Linked DNA regions of Drosophila melanogaster. The protein of the gene in region 1 purifies or fractionates together with the protein of each later gene. This does not show direct contact. Each region holds a gene or a part of one and is shown in the gene's direction. Other genes may lie near its edges.

The links. Proteins that work in one complex are often made in the same cells at the same time.
Region 2: the proteins of obst-A (region 1) and serp purify together in Drosophila melanogaster (affinity purification with western blotting, with the first as the bait; one study listed by BioGRID). This does not show direct contact.

Annotation. Positions count from the first base shown.
Region 1 is NC_004354.4:20,237,312-20,245,142, forward strand, and holds obst-A (obstructor-A), read left to right. Parts: upstream 1-2,543; 5' UTR 2,544-2,666; coding exon 2,667-2,715; intron 2,716-3,750; coding exon 3,751-3,954; intron 3,955-4,299; coding exon 4,300-4,503; intron 4,504-4,573; coding exon 4,574-4,830; 3' UTR 4,831-5,898; downstream 5,899-7,831. Other genes in the region: Peritrophin-A (peritrophin A), read left to right, coding at 7,572-7,623.
Region 2 is NT_037436.4:19,700,629-19,710,344, reverse strand, and holds serp (serpentine), read left to right. Parts: upstream 1-2,329; 5' UTR 2,330-2,870; coding exon 2,871-2,925; intron 2,926-3,947; coding exon 3,948-4,120; intron 4,121-4,286; coding exon 4,287-4,536; intron 4,537-7,846; coding exon 7,847-8,994; 3' UTR 8,995-9,368; downstream 9,369-9,716.

The DNA of each region.
Region 1 (7,831 bases):
TTCCACAATGTATGCCATAATTTGTGCCACCAATGCCAGATGTTGCTGCAACGCGGGGCGCAAAGCGAATCCAACAGTAGTACGTGCCTTCGGTCGTATCTGAATGTATCCGAAAGTATCTGAAAGTATCTGAAAGATACCGTATCCAAAGTGCCAAGGAAGAGGTTTTCATGGGGTTAAAGCGCCCATGAAACTTTTGGGGATTTTATTTCGATTCGATTTGGCGCATCTGCACATCTGCACATCTGAATTTAAATGCCAGCATTCGACGACCCAAAAACTGTAGTCCGAGTTGCTCGTTTCGTAACCGCATTGATAAACCGGACTCGAACTGGAATCGCTCCGATGATCCCCCATGCTGCAGTAAAAACCTTGAATTGCCAAATCTTCGACTGCTCAACTTTTTGCTCCAGGCCGACAAATCTTGCACATGGGCGGGAGTTGGCAAACCGATGAGCGGATACTTAATATCTTCGCTTTTTCCCCGCGCTAATTGCCAGGCCAAACCTGTCGCACCGAAGTCGAGATGCCAGCGCGATTAGTTTACAAATTAATTTGCCAATTGAATTTCAGATTTAGACGTCTGGCCGGGCTTCCAAGAACCACCTCCACCTGGTTTCCACATGGGATCGGGCGAGAGTAAAAGTGTATTGTTAATTAGCCACTACACGCCGCCAACCTAAACTAGTTTCCCAGCCCGTCTGGTTTGGCCGCATCTCCGATCTCCGATAGCTGATTATATTTTCATTATTTTTTATTTCTTTCCTACTCCGATCGGAGCGGATCGATCGCATCTCCCAAGGACAGCGGCTTTTGGGTCATTGCGTGGCCGCTTAGCATATTTATGCATATATTATGTACATATATTACCGGCATGCTCCGCCGCTTGGCCGCTGGAAGCATCGGGATGACACAGTTTTCCATCCCATGGGCGTAGCTCCTCGGAAATGGCTACACCAAACCAACCCCCCCCCCTCCCCTCCCCCACCAATCACCTGTAGACCAGTTCCCAAGCAGGCAAAACTAGAAATTCTATATTGTATCAGGCATTTCATTGGATTCCTATGGATCACCATGTTTCTAATAGATATACAACATTCAATTTGTAAGATACATTTATTACATTAGTACTTGCTCTTGTTAATTTCATCATATTTTAATATTTCTAAATGATAGTTTATAAAAATGTGCTCTTATTTCAATTATACATATATAATGTATATTATCTTACCTTATTTTACCAAAAGTAATAATGCTAAATTTTTGATTTGCGGGAGTGGCGTTTAAGACATTACCTTCCAACTAATTGGGTGTGTTACTCATTACCAAGTCTTTCATCCGTCCGTCTGCATATATGCAATGTATATATAGTATAATTTAAAGATACAGATCCAGACCGAAACTACGCCCATGGCGTGTCCTCTTCAGCCTTGAAGTCTCAATTTTTGGCTGGCACTTTGGACGAAAGGACGGTCTTCCAACTCCAACTCGTCGCCAAATGGATGGTACCTGTTTGGCTGGCCTTTTGGTCGATCGATGTAAGCCATTTGCATGCGGACCATCAACCCGGCCAACTCAATTCGAGCCAACTGAATTCGGGGATCGTTGACGCATATGAATTTATTTACGTTCATTTTCGTGTGTGTGTGTGTGTTGCTTTTTTGGTCACATCGACACACTGATCGCAGGGAACGCATACCCTACTCGAACCGCATCCATCGGTCGCTCGATCGCATTTGGTTATTTGACGGTCAATACCCGGAAATGTGCAGCTGACCAGATGGCTTACAAGCTGGAATTTTGTATTTTTGCACAGGGTCAACTATTTATTACTCTATATGCCTAAGAACCACCCATTTTTAGCATATAATTTTATTTTTAAGCGAAACAATTGAATTGAAACGCTAATGGAAATCAATTTAACATCTTCTCTACCTGCATAAATGACCGCTAGATGGCTCTGCAGATCAAGATCACTAAAGAATTTGCGGCATTAAAACTGTAATTATACGATAAATAACATTGTTTTTCTTTTTTTTTAATAGCCTTTGAGTATTCTTAAGAGTTCGCTTACAAATACATAGAAGCATTTCCTAATTCTTCCAAGATTTCGATGTAATCTCCAAGTCATCTGATACAGGTGACGCCTTCAACACAGTTGATCAATGCGCGGCCTGAAGAATTCGCGTGGTGCACATTAAGCTAGGGCATCTGGCCAGCGGTTTTCCGGTCCTCGCCCCTGGACTTTCTTGTTTTTGTGCCATTACATCTCTGGCTCGCCTTTCTTCGTCGCCTTTGGAGCCCCGGCTCCATTCCATTCCCATATCCAGTCCAGCTCCAGCCGCAGCTCGTTTGGCCTGGCTCGGTTTCGTGTGGTAGTAGTAGTAGTAGTGGTGGTGGTGGTGGTGGTGATGGTAGTGGCAGTGGCAGTGGCGGGGGCGGTAGTGGCCCCGCCCATTGGCATCACTCTGCCGCAGCCGACGGCGTCGTCGCGTCGTCGGCGACGTCGAGCAGAGCCGGTAAAAAGTCTTGAAAAGTGCGCCTCTTTGGCGTTCCGTTGTTAGTTTAGTTTAACCATCGCAGCGCTTGAGTCGCGATTAGTTGCTCAAGTATCCAGTTGCCAGGATCGTTGCTCTGCTTTTTTTTTCTCAGACCCCGAGTCCAAAATGAAGTTATTTTTATGTGCCATTGCTGTGACCCTGTGTGTGGCGACAAGTGAGTGTGAATCAATGGATCCGTGGGAATGGATCAATGGATCGTTCAATGGATCAGTGGTGCCCAGTTCAAGTGACTGACGACTGACTGGCCAGTGCCAGCCCATCCGCCAAGTCAGAGTCGCAAATTGTTGCTAATTACTTTGACACTGACACCGAAATCAAGACTCGATCTCGATCTGCTGCCGCTGTGTGTTTTGGCCAGCTAAGTAGCTAAGTAGCTAAGAGCTAAGAGCCATAAGTAGCTAATCATATTTAGCCGTCTCGCAAGACTGGGCCTCAGACGCAAATGTTGAATCTGGTCGCGATTGCGGATCTACAGGCCACATGCAGATCGAGATGGAGGGCCGTTTTCCGTCTGGAAAAACTGGAATGCTGGCCAAGCCCAAGATGCTGTCTGGCTGTCTGGGCCGCTGGGGTTATGCAACTCATGCAGTTTGTTGGCCAAGTGGAAAACGGCTCTTCTGGGCCGCAAGAGAAGTGCATTGAACCCGGACCGAACGTCGTAATCTTGGCATTATGCTGAGTATGAAGCCTTCTCTGACATTTAAATTTCGACATTTCGAATCACTTACCGGTGTGTTACGGAAATCCAAAGAATTCGCGTAGTTTGAATTCCCAATTTCGGTTGTAGAAGATATTGTCAGCATAGCGAATGCAAAGGTGTATAGAAGTATGCAGTGATTTTCGCATTGTATACATTTTTTATAGCTATCCTTTAGGCGCCCAAGTAAGAGATTTCACATTGGTTGAGTAAATAGTACTAACCTATATCTAGCTTACCGAAGTCAGTGGGATTCTGGTCAAATGTATCAAGCGATAGCAACCTGTTCCAATGGAAAACCACTGATCATTTCTTGGGCCACCGGGAGTGGTGGCAACCAGGAAACCGCAAATGCGGAATTGCCATCGGTAATCGAACGTCGTTCGATCTGTTACACTTTCGAGTGCGACTGGGGGTCGCCAGGAAAGTGAAAGTGGGAAAACCAGTTGACTGAAGTGCTTGTTTCTTTCCTTTGTTTTACCCCAACACCAGCCGTGTCCGCCGCCAACTTCGAGTGCCCGAAGCCCAATGGCCAGTTCGCCGATGAGGTGCAGTGCGACAAGTTCTACGTCTGCGACGACGGAGTGGCCAAGGCGAAGCTCTGTCCCGATGGCCTGGTCTTCGATCCACTCAACCGCAAGTTCAACAAGTGCGACCAGCCCTTCAATGTGGACTGCGAGGACCGCACTGAGCTCCGTAAGTAGCCCATCCCATCACCATTTCTATTTCTAGGCTATTGTTACCGACCCCTTGGGAATGGTCACGAAAACTATGTCAAGGCAGAGCGCTAAACAGGTTATTCCAATTACATCATTACATCACCATTAACTATGTAGGGAGTTAAATTTAAATTCGCCTCTTAAGTTCAAATTTAGCTTACTAATGAAAGCATCAGTTGAAAGGATGAATTTGTAGCATACTTTTGGACATCTCTATATTTAAAGCAAATACACCACTACAATGAGCTATCCAAAAGTTATGTAGTTGTGTAGCTCCTTTGGTAGACGGAGGAACTAACCCTGTTCGGTTTCCCCTTCACAGAGGAGCCGAAGTCCAGCAAGTACTGCCCGCGCAAGAACGGCTTCTTCGCGCATCCCGATCCCGCCGTGTGCAACATCTTCTACAACTGCATCGAAGGCGACGCCCTGGAGACCAAGTGCACCGTCGGCCTCCACTTCGACGAGTACTCGGGCACCTGCGTGTGGCCGGATACCGCTAAGCGCGAGGGCTGCAATCCGGAGCAGAGTAAGTGGACCGATTGAGTCGCCGTGCGGCGGAGTGGGCTAATGGTCTGGCATGTGGTGTGTACTTTCAGGAACCTCCGAGACCGGCTTCGTGTGCCCCAAGGATCAGCCAAAGACCGACGATCGCGGCCAGGTGGTGACCCACCCCAAGTATCCGCATCCCACCGACTGCCAGAAGTTCTACGTGTGCCTGAACGGCGAGGATCCCAGGGATCTGGGCTGCCAGCTGGGCGAGGTCTACAACGATGCCACCGAGATGTGCGATGCTCCCGAGAATGTGCCCGGCTGCGAGGACTGGTACAAGGATGTGGACGACAAGAAGGACTAAGCCACTTCCGGTCGCTTCTACTTCTCCTCATCACATCCACACTCACAACTCATGCACATGCACACGCACACACAAGCACACTGAAAGAAATTATCAATCAAATCAAATCGAAACAATTCGAAACAAATCAACACACAGATTCGCGTCTTAGTCACTTAAATTTAGTAGTTCTAGCCCATTTCCTATAGAGCGTATGTGTAGCAGTTAAACTTCAATACTCTGACCTATCTATTTCTTAACTATCTTTCTCTATATCTGACTACTTCTAACTACTTTTCTAACTACCCAAATCTCCATTTCTGTGCCCAACCAAACGCTGCCAAATTGTTGTGTATATATTTCCCGCTTTCAGACTTTCGCCTTATTATTATACAAAAAGAATAAACTGAATTTTTTATAAACTATCTATATCTATCTATCTACTATAAACTATCTTCCCAATCCCAAGACTACTACTATTCCATATACTGTTTCAGCTATCCTATGTGATCTTCGCCTAAAATTTCAATTTCCCTCATCTCTACGTTACTCTACTTAACTTCTTATCATATTCCAAAACCAATTTTCTGTCTATAAGGAAACCCACTCTTTACAAACTTTTGTCCTCCTAAAATTTTCAAACTTGAATCTTTTCCGTTCTCTTTTCTTGATTTCTTTCTTTCTATCTTTAAAATTTCAATTTAGTTCGTGTTTTATTGTTTTGCGAACTGTTACGCTACAGTTTATTATTCCTAAAATGCTCCTTTTTTAAGCATTTCAATCCTGTAATCTTGTATTTCACTTCTACCTCAAGTTTCAAATCTAAATCTTTTCTATACATTCTATCTTCCTCATAAATATTTCCTTGTATTTCGATTATACCTACTGTATAAATACTCTTTTAGACTATGCTATATGTTATTTATTAATAAACATCTTGACTTGCCTGCAAAATCCAAACGATAAGAAATTTTCACGTACCTTATTTAAGTAATCATTCAACCGACTGTAAACCCATGACACCCAAACTCACTTCCCATTCTCCGATCTTTCTCGAATTAAAAAAAACTATGTATTTCGAATCTATACAAAACTAGTGTGCATCTCGTGGGGAAATAGCAAAAAAAGGGAGGGGGGGGGGGGGGGGTTGAGTGGTCGATTGACCAATCAATCAAACCTTTCACTCCACACGCAATATCGGATAATCGCCGTGGACGGGCGGGATCGGTGCATCCATTATCCATCATAGCCCTTTGTCCCTCCATCGGTTGCAAAGAGTCTTTAATTGGCCGAGTGGCCAAGCGGACCGCACATTTACACATGTAAATGAACACAAAAAGCAGGCAAGAGTGCTTATGCAATCGCCGCAGCACGAGCAAAGCAAAGCAAAAGCAAAAGTTTTGCAATAGTTAACAATGTAACGGCAATCGGCAAACGGGGCCCAATCATGAATGAAGCTTATGGTCTGCGCGAGCTTTGCCTTTTACTTTCAATCACACATGTTGCCAGAGAAGCTCGATTTCCGCCTTGGCGTGTTTTTCTTTTTCAAGCCAGGAAATGGACCCGAACTAGCTAGGAAACTAGCTAAATCATTGGCAGTGTGGAGCGAAAGCGACCTTGTGCACAGCGTGGATGCTGGATGCATCCTTTTAGATAGCGTTCTAAGTTTTATCTGATTTTATGCAGTGTTTCCACTGTTTGTGGATAACCTAAATTTCAGCTGAATTCGCCATAGCTCGACAATCTTGCAACTGGGAATCAGTAGAAGCTAAAGTACATTTCGCTGTACTATAGAAGTTTATTCTTCATTTCGCTGTACTATAGAAGTTTATTCTTCATTGCATACAACATTATAAGAGATGTAGAAGCACTAGAGATTTCTGCAATGGGATGCGATTGATATGAAACTTTGTATTCCGAATACCACCGAACTGTAAGTCCTCAGATCGAAAATAAATCCCATAAATTCCGTCTGTTATAGGCTCTCAAGTTGGGAAGATGTGGCGAGAAAATGGATTCGAGCGATATAACATTTGGTATATGGTTTGGTATCAAACATATATTCCCAAATTGCGGCTGTTATGTGCAATTAAGAGCGTAAGATGTGGCTGGAATCTGGATGGATTGGCAGCACTGGCAATCCCAAATCCCGTTTTGCATTAAACACCAGCCAGCAACAATGCAACAATGCAACAATGCAACAACAATGCCAGCTGTGACAACACACAGCACCACCCACCGCCCACCTTTGCCGCCCCCAAAAAAAAAATCAAAGGCAAAGCGGTATCGAAAAAAAAAACGAAAAAAGCGAAGTTTTGCAAAACTGTGGTGTCGTTTGTGTGGTTTTTTGTTTTTGATTCGGTTTGGTTTCAGTTATGTTCGGTTTTTCGACCACGTTTCTACTGTATTTTGCCTTTTTTTTGTTTTTTTGTTTTTTTTTTGGCTCTTTGGCTTTGCTGGCGAGTCAACGCTGCGCAGTCGCAGCTCGGCCGCTTCTTCTTCTTCTTCTTGGAGCGCGGTACAAATCTTTTCAGTTGAGTTTGGAACGCGTAACCGTTAAAACGTACAATCTTGGAGCGGAAGTTTCAAGTTTCTCCATTCCACTTTTTGCGCGCATTTGAATATATATATATTTTTTTTACGGTGCGTGTGTGTGCCTTGCTTGTGCTTTTTCACTACTTAATACCACCCATGCATTTCCGCCTAATTCATAAATAATTTGTTTATATCGCATATGTGTTTTTATATGTCAGGCACCAAACATGCAGCGATTCCAAGTGTGCAGCGTCCTGATCCTGGCCTGGATTGCCTGTGGTAAGTGTGCAACAACTATGGCTGCTATTGCAAGTATTACCAGTACCAAAACATAATGCTCTAGAGGGCCTTGGGATAGCGATTCGATGAAACGATTGCCACTCCCGCTCGCAATTAGCACAACCTTTCAATTACTCGCGTGTTTGCGCCTCGAAAACGGAGCTTTTACTTTCAAAAATTCCACTGCAATCGCGTGGAGTGTCCAAAT
Region 2 (9,716 bases), on another chromosome or scaffold:
GCAGGCTTACCAATGCTCTCAAACAAGAGGAAAAAAACAGCCAACGTTCATATATCGAGCAACTCTCTCCCACCAGCACTAAGTACCCTCTTTGGAGAGCTCACAGAAACCTAAAGACTCCAATAGCGCCAATTATGCCACTACGAAGTCCCTCTGGCACCTGGTTTCGAAGTGATGAAGAAAGAGCCAGTGCTTTCGCTGACCATTTACAAAATGTATTCCGACCAAACCCCTCTACCAACACATTTATTCTCCCTCCTTTAATAGCAGCCAATCTAGATCCTCAAGAACCCTTTGAATTCCGACCATGTGAACTAGCAAAGGTTATCAAAGAGCAACTGAACCCAAGAAAATCGCCTGGCTACGACCTAATAACTCCAAGAATGCTCATTGAACTCCCAAAGTGTGCTATTCTTCACATCTGCCTGTTGTTCAACGCAATCGCCAAGCTTGGATACTTCCCTCAAAAATGGAAAAAGTCGACCATAGTAATGATTCCAAAGCCAGGAAAAGATAAAACGCAGCCATCATCATATAGACCGATAAGCTTACTAACATGTCTTTCAAAGCTGTTTGAAAAAATGCTACTCCTTCGGATTAGCCCTCATCTTAGAATAAACAACACACTTCCAACACATCAATTTGGCTTTAGAGAAAAACATGGAACCATCGAACAGGTCAACCGAATCACGTCAGAAATTCGTACTGCTTTTGAACATCGAGAATACTGCACAGCCATTTTTCTAGACGTCGCGCAGGCATTTGACAGAGTGTGGCTCGATGGACTTTTGTTTAAAATAATCAAGCTGTTGCCCCAAAACACACATAAGCTACTGAAGTCATACCTATATAACAGAGTGTTTGCAATAAGATGCGATACAAGCACTTCACGCGATTGCGCAATCGAAGCTGGAGTGCCGCAAGGCAGTGTACTGGGTCCAATCTTATACACCCTGTATACGGCGGATTTCCCCATAGACTACAATCTAACAACCTCCACGTTCGCTGATGATACCGCGATACTCAGTCGCTCGAAATGCCCAATAAAAGCCACGGCACTCCTATCCCGACACTTAACATCTGTAGAACGATGGCTTGCCGACTGGAGAATTTCAATAAATGTTCAAAAATGCAAGCAGGTTACCTTTACCTTAAACAAACAAACATGCCCACCACTGGTCTTGAATAACATATGCATTCCACAAGCCGACGAGGTAACATATCTGGGAGTTCATCTGGACAGGCGGCTCACTTGGCGCAAACATATAGAAGCCAAATCGAAACATCTTAAACTTAAAGCAAGGAACCTCCACTGGCTCATAAATGCTCGCTCTCCACTTAGTCTGGAGTTCAAAGCTCTTCTATACAACTCCGTCTTAAAACCTATCTGGACTTACGGCTCCGAGCTGTGGGGCAACGCATCCAGAAGTAACATAGACATTATTCAGCGAGCACAGTCAAGAATTCTGAGAATTATCACTGGAGCGCCGTGGTACCTTCGGAACGAAAACATACACAGAGACCTAAAAATCAAATTAGTAATCGAAGTAATAGCTGAGAAAAAAACGAAGTATAACGAAAAGCTGACCACCCATACAAATCCCCTCGCAAGAAAACTAATCCGAGTATGCAGTCAAAGCCGGCTGCACCGCAACGACCTCCCAGCCCAGCAATAAACTTATTAGGGCATTAATGAAAAAAAAAAACTATCACTAAGTGAAAGTTAATTAAGTTAGATTAAGATTTGAACACTTATTGTTAGTCTCTTAACACAAAGGGAAGATTCAATAAATAATAAAAATTAAAAAAAAAAAAAAAAAAAAAGAAATTTGCACTTTACTCATCTTGAGCCAAGTAGAAAAGATTTGACACAACGTACAAGTATACAAATTCGTATCAATCATACGCACTGTGGACTATTATTTAACTAGTTACCCTAGTGAATTTAAATACCCGAAGTTTGGAAGATACCAAAACAAAAGTACGTGGATACGTGTATGTGGGATGATAAAAAATGCATTTTTGGCAAGTGTGTGTGTGTGTGTTTAGCTGTTTGGGCACGCCCAAGTGGATCGTTTGGCCTGACACACATCCGACACCCTGCCCAAAATGGCGAGGGCTAGTCCCTAGAGTTCGTTGCCAATCGAGAGACACCGCAGACGTTCTGGAATCCGCCATTACGGCCAGTGCATAGGTGCCATTTGCCAGGCACTCCAAACTTCGCACACTTGCAGTCCACAAGCACGGCGGCTACACTTCTCACCTCACCGCAGTTCGAAGTCGATAGCCGCCACCATTTTGCATATAAAAGAGTGATCGCGTACGTGCCGCACTTCTCTCGTCTTTTCAACCACGATCCGGTCACGATCGGACCCAGACTTGTGCAACACGAACACTCACAGAGCTATTCCGGCCCAAAAGCCAATTGGCCAGAAAGCCAGAAAGGCAGAAAAGCAGAAAGCCAAACAGCCAAAAAGCCGGGCTTGCCAGTGATCAGCGATCGGCGATCGGCAATCAGTGGCTCAAAGCTTTTGTGGATCGCATTGGGCACTACCCCAGCAGAGCTTTCCAAAACCCACCACAGGTGCTCGAAAGAGACGTCGCCGCCGCCGCCGTGTAATAAAAGAAGCAATTTTGACTTCGTCTGGGGCTTTGGTGTCAGAGAGGGGTTCGAGAAATTGTGCGCGGCATCGTAGCAAACAGTGTAAATGGAGCTTTGATAGCGATCGGAAGGACAAGACTAGAGCTCCAAGAAGTGTTTTTTTACCCAAAGTGTGTTTGCCAGGAAAAAAGAAACATCGATATAAGACTCTAAAAAAGTGTGCAGCTAATACCAGCGATCGATCCAATCCCAACAGGTCCACCTAAAGATGGCAAAACTGTTTGTGGTTTTTGCCGTTTTGGCTCTGGCGGCCTTTAACGAAGGTAAGGTCTCCAATGAAACGCACATATTTTATGCCTCGCCGTAGTCATAAGTTTTAATTATCGAACTGCAATTTGCATTTGGCTGGCGGAAGTTGTTGCCAAGACATCAATTAAAACTGCTCGACGGCCTTCACAGAGAAACGGAAACAAGAAGGCTGGCAATTGAAAAGCCGTTTTCGAGATGCAGATGTGAGTGGAGTGGCGTGGCGTGTCGTAACCTTGATTATGCGAAAAGGACTCGTCCGGCTGTGACTAGTTGGTAAACAACTTTCGTTTTCCGAAGGGACAAACGATTGTTTACCTTGAGTCGCGTAGAAACCCATTCAGCTTGACACTTGAGCTCTGTGAATGCAGTTCTCTGAAACTCAATACGAATCTCAATCCGAGACCACTTGACTTTGACAGGCCATCGATCATGATTAGAGTCGCAGCATAAACATCGCCGTGTTGCTGTCCGTCAATTAACGGTTATGCAAATGCGGCAACTCCCTCGACTTCAAAAAATTCAAATTTAAACTGAGATTCAAATCCGAATCCGATTGCGATTTGAAAAATGCGCGACAAGTCGGCTGTTGCCAAGCGTCGCGAGATGCAAAATGTCAAAGTTAGAGCGCAGGCGCAGCAGCGAGTTTCTAAATTCGCTTTTCAGATTTCGGTTTTTATTTTTGCACCGACATTTATTTGTGTTTCTGCGCTCGGTTCTCTGGTGACATCGTATTTCATAATGCCAAACGTGTTTTTTTTTTTCGGCCAACACACCAAGCAACCAACCAGCCCGACCGCATGCCATGTCTATTTAGCCCGGCCAAATCCACTCGTATCTGTATCTCTGCAGCTGTAGCTGTATCTGTGTTTTTGTAACAGGAAGTGCCAGGCCATGGCGACATGGAACCAACCCAACCCAATCCAAGCCAACTCAATCCACACCCAACCCACATTCGCCGTGGAAATTCTTCCGGTTTTGCAACTCCAACTGCAATTGCATCCATTTATATTTCCATTTCCCTCGTTTCGACTTGCAGCCAGTGCCAGCGATCCGCTCCTGCGATACAAGCGACAGGCCACCACCGAGGAGACCAAGAAGGAGGAGTCCTTCGAGAAGGAGCTGTGCAAGGACAAGGACGCCGGCGAGTGGTTCCGCCTGGTGGCCGGCGAGGGCGACAATTGCCGCGACGTCATCCAATGTACCTCATCGGTAAGTTACAAACTATCTATAGTTGTTTGTAAATATAATTGTAGATACATGGAATGAAAGCTTATTAACATCACTTTTCATGAGGGATTACCATGTCTATCAATACAATATATCTTCATAAAATATACTTAATATTATTACTTTGTATTTATTTATTTTTAAACAGGGCCTGCAAGCCATCCGTTGCCCTGCTGGTCTGTACTTCGATATCGAGAAGCAGACTTGCGACTGGAAGGAGTCGGTGAAGAACTGCAAGTCCAAGAACAAGGAGCGCCGCGTGAAGCCCCTGCTCCATACGGATGAGCCCCTGTGCCAGGACGGATTCCTCGCCTGCGGCGATGGAAACTGCATTGAGCGCGGACTCTTCTGCAACGGCGAGAAGGATTGCTCGGATGGATCCGATGAGAACACCTGTGGTGAGTACTTTGAATAAATATTTTGTTTTTAAGGATTGCCTTAGGTTTTTAATAGCTTTTGGCACACCTTAGTCGAAGCACTTAACAGAAGTAATAAAAAGTGTAATTAGTATGCATTAGCCATTTTATGCATGATTTATAAAAAAATCCAAAAACTTAAATTGCAATAATTAGACATTAGGCCAACTATGGCCAAGGACCAATAAAATGGAATTACCAAAAATAATTGCCTCAATATTGGGGATAATGCGGGCTCGCTCCACTTTTTTTTTGTGAGCACTTTTTCATTTAAGTTTGACATTTGACAACAATAATTCAGTGTGATTCAGCAGAAATTGAGGAGGGCGTCAATAGAAGTAAGCCGCCGCCAAGTGTTGTTTATAGGATTGGCTTTCCCAAAAGCCCGAGGTTGAGTGCTATTACTCCATCGGCTCAAATGATATATGTAAGCCTTCAAGTGGCTCGTGATATGGGTGCACACTTTGTCAGATAATATGCCAATAGCATAAATAATTGATCTTATGTTTCCTTTCTTGATACATCCAAATCCGAATCCGAATCCAATATCTTTCTCTGGTCGAAATTTCTTTAGTTACTCCAGTCGCACCTTAAAACCGGTTGACGGCATTTAGGCATTACCTCAGCGAAGGAGGAACACTTCAAACTCCACTCTCGAAAGCACTGACACAACGGCACACAAGTGTCTGAATTTCGTGTTTCTTTCGGTTTTTGGAATTTGGAAGGGGTTTGGGGATTCCAATGACGGCCACATGCAATGGAACCCCGTCTGCAGCACAGATCCCACGAACCGGTTTCGCAAAGCCCTTTAGCTCCATCGTATCTCGGAGCCAGCTGAACCGCCGCACTCAGCTCGACGGGATCAGCTCCGATCTCGAATGGACAGCGATCTTTGGGTGGAAATGTCAAGTGTGAAGTGGAAACGAAATGTCAGACACGGCTGGTGGCCAGCTGGCTAAAACAGAGGGGGTTGGGGGAATTAAGGCAGTCATGTATGGAAAACATTAAATCATTAATTAGCAACATCGTAATAGCGCTAACCTTGGACTTAATAGAAATCAAATCGAAGCAAAACAAAATGCCGCTCCATAGGTGGTTTCGATTCATGTGTAAATTAGCCTTACATAAGCGGCTTAAGAGCCACGGTTATTTTTAGCAATTGCAGAAAGCCGCAAAAGCCGAGCCAAAAGCGGGCGAAAAATAAACACACAGTCATAAGCACCAAATAATAATACACTATAATAACAAAAGTAACCAAAGATTGATACAGCAGACCGCGCAAAATCGCAACTAATTCATAAAAATACTAATAACATGCCCAAACAGTGAGTGCCATAAGTTTACGCTCACTTCGTTCTTCTTGCACGAACGACATTTCTCAAGTGGCTAACCTGGCATATAAAGGCTGCCTCAACAAGCCAATTAAGTGCCAAATAAATCTGGCTAACTAGCTTCTGCTTCTGCTAGATTCACCACCTGCGATTGCGATCCGTAATGTATATATCTATCTATCTATCTATAAAATGCGAAAATTTGCACTTCTGCCTGACTTTTGAAATGCCCAGCCGAGCAGAAAGCCATGCCCGCGATCGCAAACAATTGAATAACTCCAGTCCAAGTTTAGACCACTTCGCCTTTGGGCCCAATGAGGAAGCTCACGTCTCCGGGAGGCGAAGCAAATGGCAGGCGATTAAAAGAGCGATTAACTGGTCATACATCGTAGTTTTAAAAAGAGCGACAAAGTAACGAGGAAAGTGCTCCGAAAAAATGTTGCCAAATAGTGTAGTTTTACTTGGGCAATAGCCATAAAGCCTATAACTCCACCACATGTGTATTCTCTTCAAGAGAATCCCATGTTTTTAGCTAACTTCAGATTAAAAGTGCATATGAGAATTGGCAACAAATGAGAATGACTTGTGCAAAATGATAAACTAATATCAAATCGATTCGAAAAGAAGTGTTCCAAGAATTCAATCAACACTTTTGATTAATGAATAGATTCAGCTACACATTACCGATTCTCGGAAGTACGTTAAGATCCCACCGAATTTAGCCAAAAACAAAATTCCCCACAATTATTTCTCGGCCACAATTCATCCCAATCTTGGCAAGCTCCTCTTCGGCAATAATGAGCCAGCTCACATACATTCGGCAATCTCCGCGGCAATCTCTGCAAAAATAAATAAAATGAGCAAAAGCCAAAAGCCCTAAAAAGTCAATAATGCCGGTGGATCTGGTGAATACCGAGTGAATACCGAATGCTGAATGCTGAATGCTGCTGAACCGGTCCGGGATGACATAACAGCCGTCTTTAACGACAGATTATTGGCCAATATTGGCAGAAAGGAGGGGAATGAAAGCGGAGCCACGGCGCAAAAAGGTCAACAAAGAGACAAAGCCGGCAAAATGGAAAACACGCAAAAAAAAAAACGAGTGAAAAACTTGATGGACAAAATGCTTTGGCCTTTACATGCCGTGCCTGCCATTTCACTTTGGCCAATACCAATACCAATTCCAAATGCCAAATGAGACAGCGGCAACAATAATTGCGGCTAATATCTTTGGAAACTTTCGCAATTGATTCCGTTTGACGAGCCGGCAAGTGCAAGGCTTACCAATTGGTAATTGAGTGGACCATCATTTGCATTTGGCCCGATAATCGAGCGCCATATTTTCGGGATGGGTGTGGTGTGGCTAATAAGCGAACGCTATCTGCATTTCAAAGCGGCTTCGCTTGATTAACAACACTTGAAAATTGCTCAAAACAAAGCCAAGAAAAATCCCAATAATAATAATAATGAAAGAAACATATGCCGATGAAAAACTCGCATTGTGCAGACATTTTCCATTCACTTTGCGTTTCGGTTTTCCCACCTCTCTTGATTGCTTTTCCAGACCACTTCGGTTCATTGAACCAACCCCGTACCCCCTGCCCGCCAAGCTTTATCCCCTCACCGTTGGCTAATTGCTTAAATATTTATATGAAAAGTTAAGTGAACTTTTGCCGGCCAGGTGAATGCAGGCAGAATATCAATTGTTGATTGGTTATTTGATGGGAAAAGATGACAGGCTGTTTATTGTAATGAATTTGTATTTTACAGGGTATCGATTATCTCTAGTTATATCCCTACATATATCTCTTGCTTACTTATTTTAAGAATGTGCTTTACACACCCCATTTATATGCAAGACTTCTCCTTCAATTCACTTCAGTTTGAGGAATCTTTCGTAATGTACCTTATGATTTCCTCGTCCTAACCCCATAATTTGTACCATTTTGCCCCGCCCACAGATATCGACAACGATCCCAACCGTGCCCCGCCCTGCGATCCCGCCGTGTGCGTCCTGCCCGATTGCTTCTGCTCGGAGGATGGTACATCGATTCCCGGCGACCTGCCCGCCAAGGATGTGCCCATGATGATCACCATCACGTTCGACGACGCCATCAACAACAACAACATCGAGCTGTACAAGGAGATCTTCAAGGATCGCAAGAACCCCAACGGCTGCTCCATCAAGGCCACCTACTTCGTGTCGCACAAGTACACCAACTACTCGGCGGTGCAGGAGACGGCACGCAAAGGACACGAGATCGCAGTGCACTCGATCACGCACAACGACGAGGAGCGCTTCTGGTCGAACGCCACCGTGGACGACTGGGCCAAGGAGATGGCCGGCATGAGGATCATTACGGAGAAGTTCGCCAACATTACGGATAACTCGGTGGTGGGCGTGCGTGCTCCCTACCTGCGCGTGGGCGGCAACAACCAGTTCACCATGATGGAGGAGCAGGCCTTCCTGTACGACTCCACCATCACCGCTCCGCTGTCGAACCCGCCACTATGGCCCTACACCATGTACTTCCGGATGCCCCACCGCTGCCACGGCAACCTGCAGAGCTGCCCCACCCGATCCCACGCCGTGTGGGAGATGGTGATGAACGAGCTGGACCGTCGCGAGGATCCCGTCAACGATGAGTACCTGCCCGGCTGCGCCATGGTGGACTCCTGCTCGAACATCCTGACCGGTGACCAGTTCTACAACTTCCTGAACCACAACTTCGACCGTCACTACGACCAGAACCGCGCTCCCCTGGGTCTGTACTTCCACGCCGCCTGGCTGAAGAACAATCCCGAGTTCCTCGACGCCTTCCTCTACTGGATCGACGAGATCCTGGCCAACCACAACGACGTGTACTTCGTGACCATGACCCAGGTGATCCAGTGGATGCAGAATCCACGCACCATCAGCGAGGTCAAGAACTTTGAGCCCTGGAGGGAGAAGTGCGTGGTCGAGGGCAAGCCCGCCTGCTGGGTGCCCAACACCTGCAAGCTGACCTCCAAGGAGGTTCCCGGGGAGACCATCAACCTGCAGACCTGCGTCCGATGCCCCAACAACTACCCATGGGTCAGCGATCCCACTGGCGATGGTTTCTTCTAAGTCAGCGATCTTAGCCCCATGCCCCCCTTGAGCCCCGAGCTCTAACCCAAACTCTAACCCAAACTTAACCCATACCTATCACACACCAAACCCTAAGCCCTAGCCCAACACAAACTCGATCGATTATCGCCCATTTGAATTTGAATTGCAAGACTTTTACGAGTGCACTCGTACTCTCTATTTGACTGATTTCGAGGATCAAGTCTTTGCTGTGTTACGGTTATGTTAAATCAAAAATGAAATGAAATTCGACATGAAGACAAAACAAAAGATATTCAAAACTGCAAGCCACAACATCCGAACTTGTGTTTACACTCTTTTTTGTAGTTTTACGTTAATTTGTATGTGTATATTTAAATAAAAGAAAAAAAATGAAATAAACGAAAAAACCACAAAAAATCAAGAAAAACCAAATACTGAATTTTTAATGCCGCCTGTCGTTTGTTTCAACCAGTCAAAATAACATTAAGTATTTAGTTACCAGCTAGCAACAGAAATATGATTTCTAAGAAGCCAAGAGAGGAGTAAAACATTGACAGCCCCGGCCCATTTAGTATGCCATCTACCCACTGACTTACTAACCAGTTTCTTCGGAATTAACGAATTTGAATAACAATAACGCGTTTCGGTGGGGCTCAGTTTCGGTTTCAGTTGGAGAATCCCCTCCTATGTGCATTTCATATGCAAATTTCGCCTATGCCGAGACAGGTTTTGGACACCCC